3 linked regions of the Macaca fascicularis genome follow. The protein of the gene in region 3 purifies or fractionates together with the protein of the main gene of each other region. This does not show direct contact. Links are inferred from orthologs where the notes say so. Each region holds a gene or a part of one and is shown on either strand. Other genes may lie near its edges.

Region 1 (5,298 bases), on a different chromosome or scaffold from region 3:
CTAAAAAAAAATAAGACTGTTGAGTCTGGTACAGCAGCTTACCGGCGCTGGATCTGCCTTGCAAAATTGTTGCTAGAAGCTGAGCAGGGAAACTGGACTTCACTGTGCAGGGTAGCATTACGAAAAAGGTCACAGAAGTTCTCAAAGAGCTCCAAAAGCTCATCTGACGTATTCTCAAACACAGCAATCACCTCTGTTGTCACCATATTGTATACCACAAAGAAAGATGCCTGCAGAAGAAAAGAGAGAGAGGTATAGGACAGCTGAGTATAATGCCATGCCTAGGAAACTTATCACTTGGCTGAAAATTCAAGGCATGAATTTTCCAAAAACAATAACAACAACAACAAGCAAACACCTCAGCTTTACCACTGAGGTGGAAACATGGCTCCAAGTGGTTCTGGGAAAATAGGAAGCAACCGTGGGATTTATCAATTGAGAGCCTCAACGTTGCCAGATTTCCCACTGTATCTGTGCTGCTAGAATTACTGAGATGGCCAGCATATAAGTATAAAAAGGTTTTAAATTTTCATTTCAAACTGTGCAAATTCAGTATTTTTCCTTCCAAATGTTTATTCCCTACTTGCTCCCCAACCCACCCTGAGATAAAAAGCACTTCTTAAAATGCCAGATTTAATTTTCTTTCCTGCTGAGAAAGTGATTTGCAGCCTGGGGCTGCCTGTTGGCAAATTATTTTCTCTTGTATGTGTACAGTTGAAAGTTCAATTTAGGGGTATTTATTTTTCCCTCTTAATATTTCTAACATGCAGAGAGACATCTTAAGTACATCTTGTTCTAAACTGCCCAGGCAAGTTGTATACAAGCAAGGTACTGCTGAACAAATGAAAAATCAGATAGGCATTTTCCACTTTCTTCTTCATAAATGTGCTTTCAGCCAAGAGCATTTGTAAAATACATTTGAGATTTGTAGCAATTAAGATCAGAGGGGGAACCTGAAAAGCATTCAAATGCCATAGGTGACAGAGTTACTGCTTTTTCTAAATGGGCCCTCGGTGGCTAGCCCTCTTCCTTTAAACTTCCAGTGCTGTGCTCTGCCTAACAAGGAAGTTCCAAGAACCCCTAATTTTTGTTACAGTGAATGTAGCATTGTGAATCATCTACTTCTGACAGGACTCTAGAAGTTCTCAGACCACTAGGATTAGTACTTCAGCCTCCTATGATTGAGTTTAAATCTCAATTACCAATTTCTGGAGCCACTCGACCCACCTGTTTTACTAGTAATTAGTGCTTCTCAGAGCTTATGTTACATGGCTTTTGCAGTCACCTGCAAATTAAATTTGGCTGTAAATTAAAGAGGCTAGAGGGTAACCTGAGAATAATACTCATAATATTACCAAGGCCTTGTGTTTGGATGTACTTTTTACTTATTAATCTTACTGGAACCTATCAAATTAAACTGGGGGAGGAGTGCAGAGGACAACTAGGGCAGAAAGATTGGGTTTAGAGTTACAAACTGTATAAGCAAAGCATAGAGCCCTAGTTATGTCGCTAGCTACGACTTATTGCAGCTAACAGAAACAACTAGGCCACCTTTTAGCAAAGAAGAAAACAATAATCTCAAAGGCAGCAGTCACAGACAACTTACTACCTCCAAAATAAAAAGGCAATTATAGCTCAAACCTAAATAAAGATTGATTCATGTCCTTTCTATAGCCCTGGACAACACTTTGATCCTATCAGGGCTTCACCAGAATCTCTCATAATTACATGGATATAAAATTACTCAAACATTTACTAGCCTTCCCTCCAAGGCAGACTGGGAAGTAAAGAACAGGAGGATAGAGAAGTCAAGGACTTCACTGCAATATCCCATGATACGTAAGACGAACCAGATGCTCACCTGTGATTGCTCAATGGGTGACTTCATCATTGATAGGGAAGAAAAAACATCCACAAAAAATGATTTCTAACCATATTACTCCCGTACTTTTTTTTAGAACACATAAACTACAATTCAGAAGGCAAATGTTAGAAGATATTTTACCACAGGTAACTGGTGAGATTATAGGACATGATACCCTGTACAGAATCTGTTAATGGCAGAAATCAGCTACAGGTCAGTAAGAGATACCAAACTCAGCTGGGCGCGGTGGCTCACGCCTGTAATCCCAGCACTTTGGGAGGCCGAGGCGGGCGGATCACGAGGTCAGGAGATCGAGACCATCCTGGCTAACACGGTGAAACCCCATCTCTACTAAAAATACAAAAAATTAGCCGGGCGTGGTGGTGCGTGCCTATAGTCCCAGCTACTCGGGAGGCTGAGGCAGGAGAATGGCGTGAACCCAGGAGGCGGAGCTTGCAGTGAGCCGAGATGGTGCCACTGCACTCCAGCCTGGGTGACAAAGTGAGACTCCGTCTCAAAAAAAAAAAAAAAAAGAGATACCAAACTCAGTTGACTTCATGATTTACTGATTTGCTGGTTGTTCTGAATTTCCAAACTAGTGTCTAAGGAGACAACCTGCAAACAGGAGAACTGGGGAGACAAAGGTGTAGCAAGGTAGTTCTCTAACTTGGTCAACACTGAAGCGGAGAGGTTTTCAAAGACAAATGCCCAAATTACCCTGAATTTCAATATAGTGTTTCAACCCCCAAATCTTAGCAGTTCTGTGCTCTTTATATCACCTTATTCCCTTTTGGGAAATGCTTCTTCCCCTTACTGAAAGAAAGGCATTCTTCCCCTAAACTGAAAAACCTTTAAGACTTGTTGTCCTGATGACTCTCCTCATGGATCATCAATTTTGGCTTCTTTTTGATCTCTTCACTGCTCTACAAGCTATGTCCCAGCATGTGGGCAAGGTCAGGGTAAAGTCACAGAACTTAATTCCGCCAAATGAGTGCACCTGTTAGTTACCTTATAAATAGGACTTTACGGAGAAGTAAATTATGAACCATTTAAGGACGAAAGTGGGGTTACTTAGAGAATTTTCTTTTTTGTATCGTATACTCATTCTCATTGCCATTACTAAAACGGCCAGACCAATAAGCACAATCTTACAAAATCAAGAGAGGTTATCCATAAGTAGTCCAAACCTTGACCTTGTAGCATTTGGGCTTCCATCTTATGAGTACCGAAAATGCTCTGCAGAAGAGTTAGGGTAGTAATCAGAGTTGACTATCTTCCTGTCAATGACTTGAACTTTAGCTTCCATTTGTCCAGATAAATACATATGACCAGAGAAAAATGGAGCTGATTTTAAGTTTGGGCCCTAGGATATCAACTCAGACTACGTGAAATGTCTATTTCTGAGGGGTGGGCTATAAACAGAGAAACCTTCCCATTTTGTCAAGGAGACTGGACAAGTAAAAGGCAGAAGTGCACCTCATACCTGTGATGGATCTGTGACTCGCAGTGTTACTACATCCTCACTAGTGTACTTGATAAACAGATGGTTTTCATCCAGAAGCTGCATTTTCCACATTCGCAGCTGCCGCAGTTGGTCAAAATACTGGAAGAAGCGCCTCTTGGCCATTGCGCTACCATCCTGTTCTGCCCGGCGCCACAAATACACCAGCAACCGGTGTTTGAGGGAATTGATGAAAGGATCCCTAAAGGGATTGGCCATGCCTGTCTGACTGTCCCGCTGTACCTCAGGGAAAACAGCTGACACAGTGAGCAGGTCATCCTCATAGCAAAAGCGGCCAATGGTCCGCACATCAATGAAAGTGCCTTCAGGAGTCACCTGGAAGACATGGATGGTCTGTTGTTGCACAGACAAGATGGCCAGGATGTTTTTGTACAAGTACAGCCCTTGGTTGTGTGACAAGACCACCTTGTCACACTTGAATGTGCGTGTATCACATAAGCGGCCAGTATGAAGGTCAATGATGTGGAGGGAATAGTCTTCTAGAGGGGACCGTGGGTTGGGGGTCACTGATTCACTGTTCCGATATACCTCAAAAAATGGAGGGTGAGGCTCATCCGGGAGGTAGGCAGCTGAGCCCACGATGACACAGCGGCAGTCATCAGTGAAGAGACTACACTCCCGGTTCAGGTGCTCACCATTGGCTGCAACATTGGTAATGTGCAGCAGGACAAAAAAGCGTTCAAAGAGCCGGCCCCGGATATTCACTGACCGCTGGTCATTGCCATTGGACAGGATTTCTCCTTCATATCCCTGCAGTAGGTCCTCTGCTGCCTGGCAGCCCTGGTACTCATAGATTTCAAGAGATGTCTGGTCTGAAGAAAAAGCAATAAAGTAGCGTCCGTCAGGTGAGAATTTACGCAAAAAACAAGGAGGCTTTTCAACGTTGACAACTGTGAAGTTGGGGAAGACATTCTGATGGAACACTCGGACTTGGTGCCAGTGGGTACCTGCCTTGCCTGAACTGATCCGCCGGCGCTCCAAGCGGTGAATGACATTTTGGTTTTGGATTCTTCGAGGCCTGATGGTAGAAACATGATGATCCATTATCACATCTCTAAACAGAAAAGTAAAGCAGAAGTCAAGAAAATGAAACAAAATTTACCAAAATATAAATATATACAAGTCAAACAGATTTCTCTTCTTATATCCTGAACCTAGGAGCTCCCAGGATGACAGTGACTGGAATTACTGCTTCCCTTTAAGTGGTCCTAACATTTCTAAGTCTAGAAACAGGTCTAAGGGAAGGATCTAGTTCACTAGGAACACCTTCCAAGTATGCTCAGCTGTTGGGAATGTTCAACAGAAAAAAACCTACAACTGCAAATTTGAACAGTATAAGACACATTCAGCCAGGCACGGTGGCTCATGCCTGTAATCCCAACACTTTGGGAGACCGAAGCAAGTGGATCACTTGAGCTCACTAGTTCAAGGCCAGCCTGGAAAACATGGCAAAACCCCGTCTCTACAAAAAAAATAGAAAAATTAGCCAGGCATGGTGGCACATGCCTGTAGTTCTAGCTACTTGAGAGGCTGAAGTGGAAGGACTGCTTAAGCTCGGATCATTGAAGCTGCAATGAGCCATGATCACAACACTGCAACAGAGTGAGACTATCTCAAACAAACAAACAAACAAATCATATTCAATGTGTATTCATTCCAGCAAAAAATATTTATTGGGCTGTTAAGATGTCCATATTACCCAAAATAATCTACAGATTCAATATAAACCCTATCAAAATCCTAATAGCACTTTTTACAAAGATAAAAAATTCATCCTAAACTTCATATGGTATGTCAAGGGCCTCCAAATACACAAAATAATTTTGAAAAAGAACAAAGAGGACTCAAGCCTCCTGATTTCAAAATATATTACAAAACCACAGTAATCAAAAAAGTGTGGTACTGGATAAAG
Region 2 (5,398 bases), on a different chromosome or scaffold from region 3:
CTAGGTGACAAGAATGAAACTCCGTCTCAAAACAAAACAAAACAAACAGAAAAAATAGGTAAGTGCTAATATAATTTTTAGGAGACAGAAATAATTGGATGGGGTTGATCTTTAAAATCTAAGCATTTCAATTTAATAACAGTAGGAAGGCAGGCATTCGAGGCAAAAATAATCACTATCTGAAGTGTGGTCAATTTTTTTGGTGAAAATAAGGCCAAAAAGGTAGATGTGTTTGTTTAGAGTTAAGGGCTCGTAGGCAAGCAGACATGGACTGTCTTCTAGCTTCACCACTAGCTGTGTGACCTCAGAGCAAGGTATTTCAACTCTGTACTTTGGTCTTCTCTTACTATAATGTAAATAATATCACTTACTCCTACTTATTAAGGATTTTTAAATATAAGTAATGTTGTGCTTCGCACAGTAAACTCTACGTGTTATCAACTTTCACTCTAGAGATGAAAACCACTAAAATGGTTGTGTTTGGGACAACAAATAGAGAATCAGAATCTGAGTTAGAAGGGGCCTTTGAGGTCTCTCCTCAATATAGTCTATCCTCCATTGTGGCTCTCCTATTCTAAATCTTTATGTGAGATAATAAACACAACACATAATATGCACAAAAACAGCCTACAAAATGGAGGAAAATGCTTTTCATCTGACTAATTTCTTACATAAACTTTAGACAGCTGTGTTAATCCACAGTTATGGGAAAGCATTTCTAATTGAGTTTTTAACAAGAAAACGAGCATAGTCTGGTAGGTTTAAAATGAGCTTTTTAGAGTGATGAACCTGGGTTCAAATACAAGCTCTGCCCCTTTCTAGCTATTCATTAATTCAACCACATGTATTGAGCAACTGTTGTTATAGATATCCCAATTGCTGGGAACACACAGTATTGATATTTTAGAAACAATGTACTCCATTATTCTTTAATATGGAATCCTTTGTTTCTCAGCTCCTAAAAAATCCCCAAAAACCTTCATTAAAAGTACATACAAGAAAAAATACATTAAAAAAAAAAACTGATATTTCAAGGGTATTTCTCTTAAAGCATGTAGCTGGTAGAACTGATGTTGTTATAAGGATAAATATCCTGATACTTTCTTGCTCAGATAGGAACTGCAAGCAAGCCCAAGACTTTTCTCAGAAAGCAGCTCTGAAGGAGTTGCTGGCTAACACAGCACTGGCTATCAGTTATCAAGCACATTATTTCATTTAATCTTCACAACACCATGTGGTAGATTGCTACAGTAATGGCTTCCAATGAATCATGTCTCCCTCTGTCCAGGCTCCTTTGCAATGTAACTTTGTCACTAAAGAGGCAGTAGTAGGCTCCATTTCCCCTCCCCTTGAATCTGGGCTGGTCTTCTGATTTACTTTTACCAGTACTAGAGAATTGATATGAGACTTTCTAGGCTATCCTTAAGAGGTCTTGTGACTTCCCCTCTCATAGCCACCTAAGAAAGCCCAAGCTAAACTAATGAATGAGAGACTATGTGCAGAGAGAGACAGATCCTGCCAAGAGCAAGATATGCATGTGAGTCCAGCCCCAGGTGAGTTGCCAGCTGACTATATCTGCATGAGTGAGCCCAGACAAGACCAGAAGAGCTGTCCAGTCAATCCATAGAATCCTGAGAAATCACAGTTGTTTTACACTGGTAAGTTTTTGGTTACAAAGCAACAGATAACTGAAGTACCCTATAAATACTATTGTTTATCTCCAATTCAGACCTGAAAAAGTAAATACTTAAGTTTCAGAACTCTCCAAATACATGAAAAGCTCTATTTCTTCTGATAACTAATGCACTTATTTTTCTTTTACAAAATAAAAAGTAAAGGAAGCATGGGGGAAAAATATAAGCTGCTTTTACTTTCATCCATATCTACAAAATTACAAGCAAAAAGGATTAAGCCATGAAGACATATTTGTTTCCAACCCATACAATAAGTGAATATATATTACTGACAGCTTAGTGATAGTAACAACAATCTTGCGGCACTTTCTATATGTCAGGTACTGTTCTAGGTGATATAAGTGTGGTAAGTATATATGCACACAGATACTCATCTTGTCTTCAGATAATCTCAGACAAGAATATGTCCTATTACCATCTTCATTTTCCTAAATGGGAAAATGCAGCACAAAGTAGTTACGCCCAAAATATACGGCTGAATTTCCCACTGATAAAAGTAGATTACATTTACCACCAGAGAAAAGGCAGCCTAGCCTACTTAAAACAGTCAGAATTTCGATGACCAGGTTAGAGCTGGTGTATCCCATTAACATACATAAAGTGATTTCAGCTGTCAGGATGTAAACATTAAGATCAACTTGAGAGGCATACTTTATTTACTTATTTATTTATGGAGACGGGGGTCTCACTATGTTGCCCAGGCTAGTCTAGAACTCCTGGCCTCAAGTGATCCTCCCACCTCAGCCTCTCTGCACCCGGCCTAGAGAGGCATACTTTAAGTTCATTACAAAAGATCAGTGCTGTGACATCTACAAAGAGAAAATGAACAATATACGTCTACCTACCTATGCTTAATACTGTTGAACAACTGCTTGCACAACAGGCACGTCACACATTTTAACTTGGAGTGAACCTAAGCATTCTATATGAATTTCGACAAAATTCAGATTGCTGCAAACATCACTACTCTAGACATCCTGATCCGCGATATGAGCACATTCCGCCTATGTGCCTTCAGAGTTGGTGGCGGAGAAAATACCCGAAACACAAGGACCCACAGAAGACAGTCTGAGTGGTCTGGACGACATGACAGCGGCCATACCTCCTCAGTCTCAGCCAGCCCCAAGAAGCCATCTCCCCGAAAAACACACCATCAAGGCCCCAGAATATACATTTCTCTGAATCAAAAAAAGGAGGAGGAAGGTCCAACGAGAGGCCAGATTCGGTGTGAGGCCGGCCAGCGATAGGAAGAGGTACCAGGGAAGGCTACTAAGGCCAGGGTAGCAGTCGTCTGTCAGACCGCTCTTCCAAAATCCTAAGGGACCAGAGGGATTCTATCAATAACTGAACAAGTTGACAGTCATCCCAAGTCTATGGCCTCGAAGGCCCCTGCACAAGGTCCCCTCCAGCTCTCTGCTTCTCCCAACATTTGCCTCCCTAGCCGACCTCAGGCCCGCCCCCTTGGTCGTCAGGCCGGTTCCTAGCTTCACGCCCAAGAGTCGTGGCCAACCTAAGGAGATTAAGGCTGTGGCTTTCTTTCCCCACCTCTGTACTCCCGCGTTGCTGGGAAATACTCACTTGCCAGCCAGATCTTTATGAGAGCCGCTCGAATTCATGAGCTGGGCCAAATCCTGTCGCACGGCTGCCGCCATCTTTCTCCCAGCTCAGCGGTGGATGCGGGGCCTCTGGCAGCCAAAAAGAAAACGAGTGTGGTCCTCCAGAGTGCAGCCAGAGGGAACCTGAGATGCTACAGAGTAGCGTCTGTGTGGGCCAGAGCGTCGGGTGTGGGAGCCTGGGCTAGCTCCGCCCTCAGGGTTGAGTGATGCGGGGCTCCACTCCTCAGGTCTGAGGCCTGCCCAGCCCTCTCCTACAGGCTCTGGCTCTCACGCTCGGACTTTGGATTGGCTGATGAACTCCAGGAGTGAGTCTCTAGTGTAACTCCAATAAGTACCCGGTACATAAAACGACTGCGTTTTCGCAAAGTTCCATGTCTCATGTCTGTGGTTTACCGTCCTTAGGTCTTTCAGGCAGCGCTTAAACTGCCTGTGGTAAAGAACGAGTTTTGTTTCTGATTCACCACAGACGATACTTTTTAGAAATACAATTAAAAAGTCCCCATTCCTCCTCCCACTCCATGCACTTTATAAAGGTTGATCAGATATTCCAGTTTGTCCAGTACAAAGCCATTTTCCCTCTGTCGTCCTGGAGTAGTGATTAATAACATCCCCCCTTGCGGCCGGGCGCGGTGGCTCACGCCTGTAATCCCAGCACTTTGGGAGGCCGAGGCGGGCGGATCACGAGGTCAGGAGATCGAGACCATCCTGGCTAAACACGGTGAAACCCCGTCTACTAAAAATACAAAAAAATTAGCTGGGCGTAGGTGGTGCACGCCTGTAGCCCCAGCTACTCGGGAGGCTGAGGCTGTAGAATGGCGTAAAACCCGGGAGGCGGAACTTGCAGTGACCCGAGATTGCGCCACTGCGCTCCTGCCTGGGCGATAGAGCAAGACTCCGTCTCTAAATAAATAAATTAATTAATTAATTAAAATAACATCCCCCCTTTCATTCTAGAAACGGTTGCATTTCAATGGAAGATTATATGGTCGCCTGCGTTTATATGATATTCAATACTCATGTATTCTTATGGAATTTCTGCAAATACAAGCAAATATTAATAAATATAAAATTTTACCTCTCCTTTCACAAAAAGTAACACCACATAATTGTTCTGCTTTGTTTTTTGTTGTTGTTGTTGTTTTGTTTTGTTTTGTTTTGTTTTGTTTTTTGCACTTTTCCTGGTACTGTGGTTTGAAATAATTGTCTTCTCCAAAACGCAAGTTGAGGGCTGGGTGCCGTGGCTCACGTCTGTAATCCCAGCACTTTGGGAGGCCGAGGCGGACGGATCATCTGAGGTTGGGAGTTCGAGACCAGCCTGAACAACATGGAGAAACCCCGTCTCAACTAAAAATACAAAAATTAGCCAGGCGTAGTGGCACATACCTGTAATTCCAGTTACTCAGGAGACTGAGGCAGGAGAATCACTTGAACCTGGGAGGCGAAGGTCGCGTTGAGCCAAGACTGCACCATTGCACTCCAGCCTGGGCAACAAGGGCGAAACTCCGTCTCAAAAAAAAAAAGGCAAGACTCCATCTCAAAAAATAAAAATTAAAATTAAATGAAAAAGAAAACAAACAACTCATGTTGAAACTTAATCTTTAATGTGGCAACATTTAGAGGTGGGTCTTAAATAGATGATTGGATCATGAGGACAAAACCCTGAGGAATTGATCCATTTGTGGATTAATGGGTTATCATGGGAGAGAACATGTGGCTTTATTAGAAGAGGAAGAGACCTGAGCTAGCATGTTAGGAAGGTCACTCCGTTGCCATGTGATACCCTGTGCTGCTTCTGAACTCTAGCAAGTCTTGACCAGCAAGAAGGGTCTCACTAGATGTGGTCGCTTGACCTTAGACTTCTTGGCCTTCATAACTGTAAGATATAAATTCCTTTTCTTTATAAATTACCCAGTTTCAGGTATTCTGGTATAAGCAACAGAAAACAGACTAAGACAGCTGGACATCTTACCAGCTGTCCAGTCTTTCAAAATCACTCTTTTTAGAGCTAGAAGATATTACATAGCAAGGGTATGTCTTAGTTTATTTAATCCTTATAGGACACAAGTTATTTTTAATCAATCCTGCGAT
Region 3 (5,398 bases):
TAGTAGAAAAGTTTATCTTTGTATGGCAAAAGCAGCTTTCTCTTATCTTTATGTCCATTCCCTTTCAGTTGCACTAATATTTGTAATTTTTTAAATGGCTAGTACTTCATATACCCTCCTAAAGAATTTAACTACATGAATTAGAACAAACAACTGTGTTCATTAAATCCTGAAAATGAGCCAGTTAATCCTCCCTTATAAAGACACAGCATTATTTTATTCACATGCGATGAAATAGTTAATTCAATAAGTATTTACCCTGCGTTTACAGTAGTTCAGAGTTTTGTGAAATGTGAGACACGATAAAGGAAAACTCAATGTTTTAAGGCATCTTTCCTGGCCTTAAGAGTTTACTGTTTCTATTTGGGCAGCAAGAACTATATGGTAGGCCCAGCACTTTGGGAGGCTGAGGCGGCAGATCACTTGAGGCCAGGAGTTTGAGACCAGCCTGGCCAACATGGCAAAACCCTGACTCTACTAAAAATACAAAACAATTAGCAGGCATACTGATATGCGCCTGTAGTCCCAGGTACTCAAGGAGGCTGACGCACAAGAATCGCTTGAACCCAGGAGGCAGAGGTTGCAGTGAGCCAAGATTACACCACTGCACTCCAGCCTGGGCGACACAGCAAGATTCTGTCTCCAAAACCAAACCAAACCAAACCAAAAAACCTATGTGGTATATTCAAAACAGATAGGAGTGCTTCCATCTGTCCCTTTTCAGGCCCCTGTCTCCCTTCTCAGGGGCCTTGGGTTCTAAGTTCCATTAGAGCCTTGCTTTCAGCAGGCTGTCATCAAATAGCAATGATATCGTTTAATAATGCCAAAGGTTGATTTGCATTTTAATCAGGGACTTTTCAAGACACAAAAACAAGTAGGCCTGTTTAAACAAAGTTAGAAAGTTATTTATTTGCAGGGTTCTGATTCACCTATCACAAGCTATACCATACAAGCTGCTTTTACTCCACTCACAATCCTGTCACTCCTGGTTTGTAAAAGCTCTGCTTGCTGGATTGTCTCCCTGCTATCTATGATTGCCTACAGAGTAGACTCCAAATTCTTGGCTTGGTGTGCCAGGCCCTTTTGAGCCTCATCTTCCTTACTCCCAGCTAGACATCCTACTTCCCAGCCTCACTGCACTTTCCATGTTTCCATAAACAGGCCAGGCCCTTTCACTCCTTGCTTTGCCCTTGTTTCCATTCCCCAAAATGCCTTTCATCCTGTTCCCTCTTGTCTTTTTGGCAACTCCCACTTTGAGGCACAGCATAAACACAATCTCTGTAAAACTATTCCTATTCCAGATTTCCCCCAAATTTCTTGTTTTGCCTCTTCTGACAGCACTTTGTATATCTGTCATAGTATTGTTATGGAAATTAGTTTTGAAACTATCTTCCCTTACTGGCTTCTCAAGGGCAGAGACCTTGCATAGTGTCTTACCATACATGCTCACTGAATGCTTTTGCAGTTAGAATGATCAACAGGTTGGCAAATTTAGTTCTATTTGACATTGTGTTACCTCCCTCTGAGAATGCCCCAAGGTTAAGTAAAAACTCCCAACAGGGAATTTACAAGGTTGATTGTTGCTAATTTAACTAAATTTAAAGATTTTTAAAATCAGTCATCAAATGTAAAGCGGGGGCTCATGAAACACATTGGTAGAAAACATTAACTTTTGCCAATATTGTTCTAAAATGTCTCCTTTGGGACAGCGTGTAAGCTGAGATTTGGCAAAAGAAGGAAGTGGGTCTTAGCTTTGGTCTATAAATTAGAGTTAAGGACTGATAGAGTGGGGGTTAGGACGGTCCTGGGCACAGTGCTCAGTGGGTGAGTGGTTAGTTACCTTTCTATTTCTTCGCCTTAGAATACACCCTTAATTTGGCCAGCCAGCTTAGAAAATGCTCCTGGTAGGAAGATAAAAGGATTTACAGCTACATGAAAGAGAAAGGCATCAAAACTCAGGCCTTATTCAGCCTTGGGTCTGTGGTGCCTTGAGATAAAAGAGAAACAATTTATAGCGGCACCGAATCAAAAAGTCCTTTTCTTCCTATCTTAGCTCGTTTTCTTCTCCTTTCCTATCTTAACATCGGGACATTCCTCTCCAGTAACGGGCATAATAGCATGATTATGTTTTCCTCTATTTAGGGTTACTCCCCTAGCCTTGCAACCACTCCTTATTCCTTTATCTCTTTCAAAGTTTCCATTCTCCCGGACCTTTACATTTTATTTCGTCCCTCCCTCTCTCCTCCTCTTCCTCCTCCTCCGTTTTCCCAGCTAGCTCACTCCGCCCCTCGCCGTCACTACCTTCCCTCCCCGAGGCTCCTTCCCGCTCCTCCCCGTTCCTCCCGCCACCCCCCCCCCACCCCCTCGCCTTCAGAAAGCTCCAATCAGGAGCTCCGAAGGTGTCTCGAAGGCCCGCCCCCTCCTCCCATCCACTTTTCTTCCCCCCAATTTCTCCCTCCCCCCTTCCCCCCCCAACTCAAGTCCTGCGGGCCTGGGGGCTTCGGGATCTGGGCGCTATGAAAAGTGTCTGCCCAGTCACTTCCGGTAAGGGCGCTGCGGCGCGGAGCTTCCCGCGGGACCGTTAAGGAGCGAGTGGGAGTCCCCGGTGGGCCAGGGAAGGAAGGCGCTGCCAGGAAGGGGGAGCGCGAAGGAGAGCGGGAGCCGGAGCGAACTAACGCGAGCGTCTGGGGCACTTTAGCCGCCCCTTCCCAGCCGCCCCCTCACGCGCGAGCTCACCCGCCCCCCGGGCGGCTGCAGCGCTTCCCTCACCCCCAATCCCTGAGGTTGGCACCGCCCCTCCCTCGGTGCCGCGTGACCGGAAATGGCGCCATCTTTAGCCTCTTGTGCTATTGACAATAACAAGCCCTGGTTCTTTCCCCCTCCCCCTTTCCCCCAACCACAGCCTCTCCCCTCCCAGGGAGAGGGAGAAAAGGAGGAGGAGCTGCAGCCTCACAGACTCGCTGAGTCGCTCCTGCAGAAAGGGGGGGAGAGAGATCGAAAAGCAGGGGAGGGGGACGGCACGGCCGTTTACCTGTCTGCCTCCTCATTCGCTCTCCCCCCTCGTTCTGCTCACTCCTGGTGTCAGCCTATCCGCCTTCCCAAACCCTCCCATTCCCCCGGTGTAGCCCCCCCCGCCTTCACTTTCCTTCTCGTCCTCTGTGTTTCTCCTCTCTTCTTTCTTCCCTTCCCCCTCTAGCATTGCCACCTTCTCTCCTACACGCACGCAGGCATATAAACGTAGGTTTTTGATGCTCCTCTGCCTGTTGACCCCGCTATTTTCATGTTTCCAACAGGTTTTTCTTCCCCCAGTCCCTCAGCTGCTGCTGCTGCTCAGGAGGTCAGATCTGCCACTGATGGTAATACCAGCACCACTCCGCCCACCTCTGCCAAGAAGAGAAAGTTAAACAGCAGCAGCAGTAGCAGCAGTAACAGTAGTAACGAGAGAGAAGACTTTGATTCCACCTCTTCCTCCTCTTCCACTCCTCCTTTACAACCCAGGGATTCGGCATCCCCTTCAACCTCGTCCTTCTGCCTGGGGGTTTCAGTGGCTGCTTCCAGCCACGTACCGATACAGAAGAAGCTGCGTTTTGAAGACACCCTGGAGTTTGTAGGGTTTGATGCGAAGATGGCTGAGGAATCCTCCTCCTCCTCCTCCTCATCTTCACCAACTGCTGCAACATCTCAGCAGCAGCAACTTAAAAATAAGAGTATATTAATCTCTTCTGTGGCTTCGGTGCATCATGCAAACGGCCTAGCCAAATCTTCTACCACCGTCTCTAGCTTTGCTAACAGCAAGCCTGGCTCTGCTAAGAAGTTAGTGATCAAGAACTTTAAAGGTAACCAAGGCCAAAATCCATAATCACCTAATAAGGATTTGACACTCGAGGGGTCACGTGCTCTATTTATGTTAATATATTAAACAGTTTGGAGGTGGCCTAATGTTTTATGCATAATCAATGAGGTGGAGGGGAGGTCCTTTTTTGGTGGAGGGTTCATTTTCCGGGGGTGGTTAGGATCCTTGTGCTGAAGCATACACCGGGTGTTTCTGTGCAGTATTTTGAGGTTTTTTTTCAGCCTATTGTATTTAATCTGTTATTCCTTATAACACTGACAATCGGTATGATTGATCCGGATTTTACAGGTGAGAAATTTGTATTCTAAAGAGGTTTATTTATTTCAGGTGCATAGCGAGCCTTGGCACTGCTGGGATTTTTATTTTTATGCTTCAGTAGGCCACATTATCCAATGCCTAGAAATGCAGGTAGCAATAGTGATCTTTTTGTGCTCAAATAATATTTATAATTAGATTTACACTGTATTCATGAAACTCATTTGGAAGCAATATTAGAAGAAAAATTTATGTTCTCTGTATTTCTTTCCAAAGGTAGGGTTTGAAAGTGAAAAACATTGTGTATACACAGAAGTAGTAAGTCTGTGTACCACTAGTCTAAAGATAGGAACAATTACTACATCTATTTTTTCCATCACTAAAATGGATTTTAAAGTATCGACTTGCAGCTTTTAGGAAAATTTGTTCAGACCGTGTTTGAGATATGTGAGGAGAGTATTATGAATGCATTGATGCAAATATAAAATAAGCAATTTTTAAAACTGTATTTGAGCTGAATTTTTATCTGTTGAATGTGTTTCTGTTTTTCTGACTGACTTTTCAACACCCTTAACTGCCAGGTAATCAGTGCTACAGTGTTTATTAAATAGGGAAGTAAATGAATGAACTTAAGTAATATTTATGAGATAAGTGCTTTGTGGCTGAATATTAGTATTGAGAAGATCAGGTTCTCTATGCTTGTGTTTTTAACATTGAGTGGAAATCAGGAATGTGCTCTATTTTGTCTCAAGCAGAGGGCTATGGTGTTGTCTATTTTTAACTCTTTCTTTTTTATATCACTACCTTCCCATACCCAGGTTCTCAGTTTATGATTTAATAGTAGAGCTTTCTGAAGTCAATATGAATTGTAATTGACTAACGTGTTCATTATTTCACTTAAAAATATATGTATTTTTATAGCCAAATATTTTTAAATGAGTTATGATCCTGGTTGCATTTTCAAATTGGTTTCAGAGATTTTTTTCTCTCCCTCCTAAGATAAAAGCATATTAAGGCATTTGGATGTTCTAATTAAAACTTTTTTCCCCACACTCATTGCTAGTCAGTGAAGTTTAAAGCCTAGAGTAAGGTGTTTCTTTCTATTCTGAAAATGCAACATGATTTCTGGAGTCATTTGGATGTTTCAATCTTTAAAAATTTCACTCTGCTCATAAATGTAGTTTAAAACTACATGGAGTTAAGATATTTCCATTTCTATAGATGCTGCATAAATTTGGGGGTCAAACAGACCTGGATTAGAATCCCAGCTTTGCCATTGACTAGCTATGA

What was found.
Region 1: the proteins of CUL4B (region 3) and DET1 purify together in Homo sapiens (affinity purification with mass spectrometry; 3 studies listed by BioGRID and IntAct, counting the BioPlex papers as one, with this or other methods). This does not show direct contact. The link is inferred for Macaca fascicularis from reciprocal best matches to the Homo sapiens genes CUL4B and DET1.
Region 2: the proteins of CUL4B (region 3) and COPS4 purify together in Homo sapiens (affinity purification with mass spectrometry; 9 studies listed by BioGRID and IntAct, with this or other methods). This does not show direct contact. The link is inferred for Macaca fascicularis from reciprocal best matches to the Homo sapiens genes CUL4B and COPS4.

The regions. Positions count from the first base shown.
Region 1 is NC_088381.1:72,982,062-72,987,359, forward strand, and holds part of DET1 (DET1 homolog), read right to left. Parts: intron 4,441-5,298; coding exon 3,348-4,440; intron 231-3,347; coding exon 43-230; intron 1-42. UniProt on the Homo sapiens protein: Component of the E3 ubiquitin ligase DCX DET1-COP1 complex, which is required for ubiquitination and subsequent degradation of target proteins. The complex is involved in JUN ubiquitination and degradation.
Region 2 is NC_088379.1:50,802,990-50,808,387, forward strand, and holds the start of COPS4 (COP9 signalosome complex subunit 4), read right to left. Parts: upstream 3,400-5,398; 5' UTR 3,347-3,399; coding exon 3,273-3,346; intron 1-3,272. UniProt on the Homo sapiens protein: Component of the COP9 signalosome complex (CSN), a complex involved in various cellular and developmental processes.
Region 3 is NC_088395.1:126,835,626-126,841,023, reverse strand, and holds the start of CUL4B (cullin-4B), read left to right. Parts: upstream 1-2,465; 5' UTR 2,466-2,516; coding exon 2,517-2,544; intron 2,545-3,293; coding exon 3,294-3,836; intron 3,837-3,940; exon of another isoform or gene 3,941-4,119; coding exon of another isoform or gene 4,120-4,141; intron 4,142-5,398.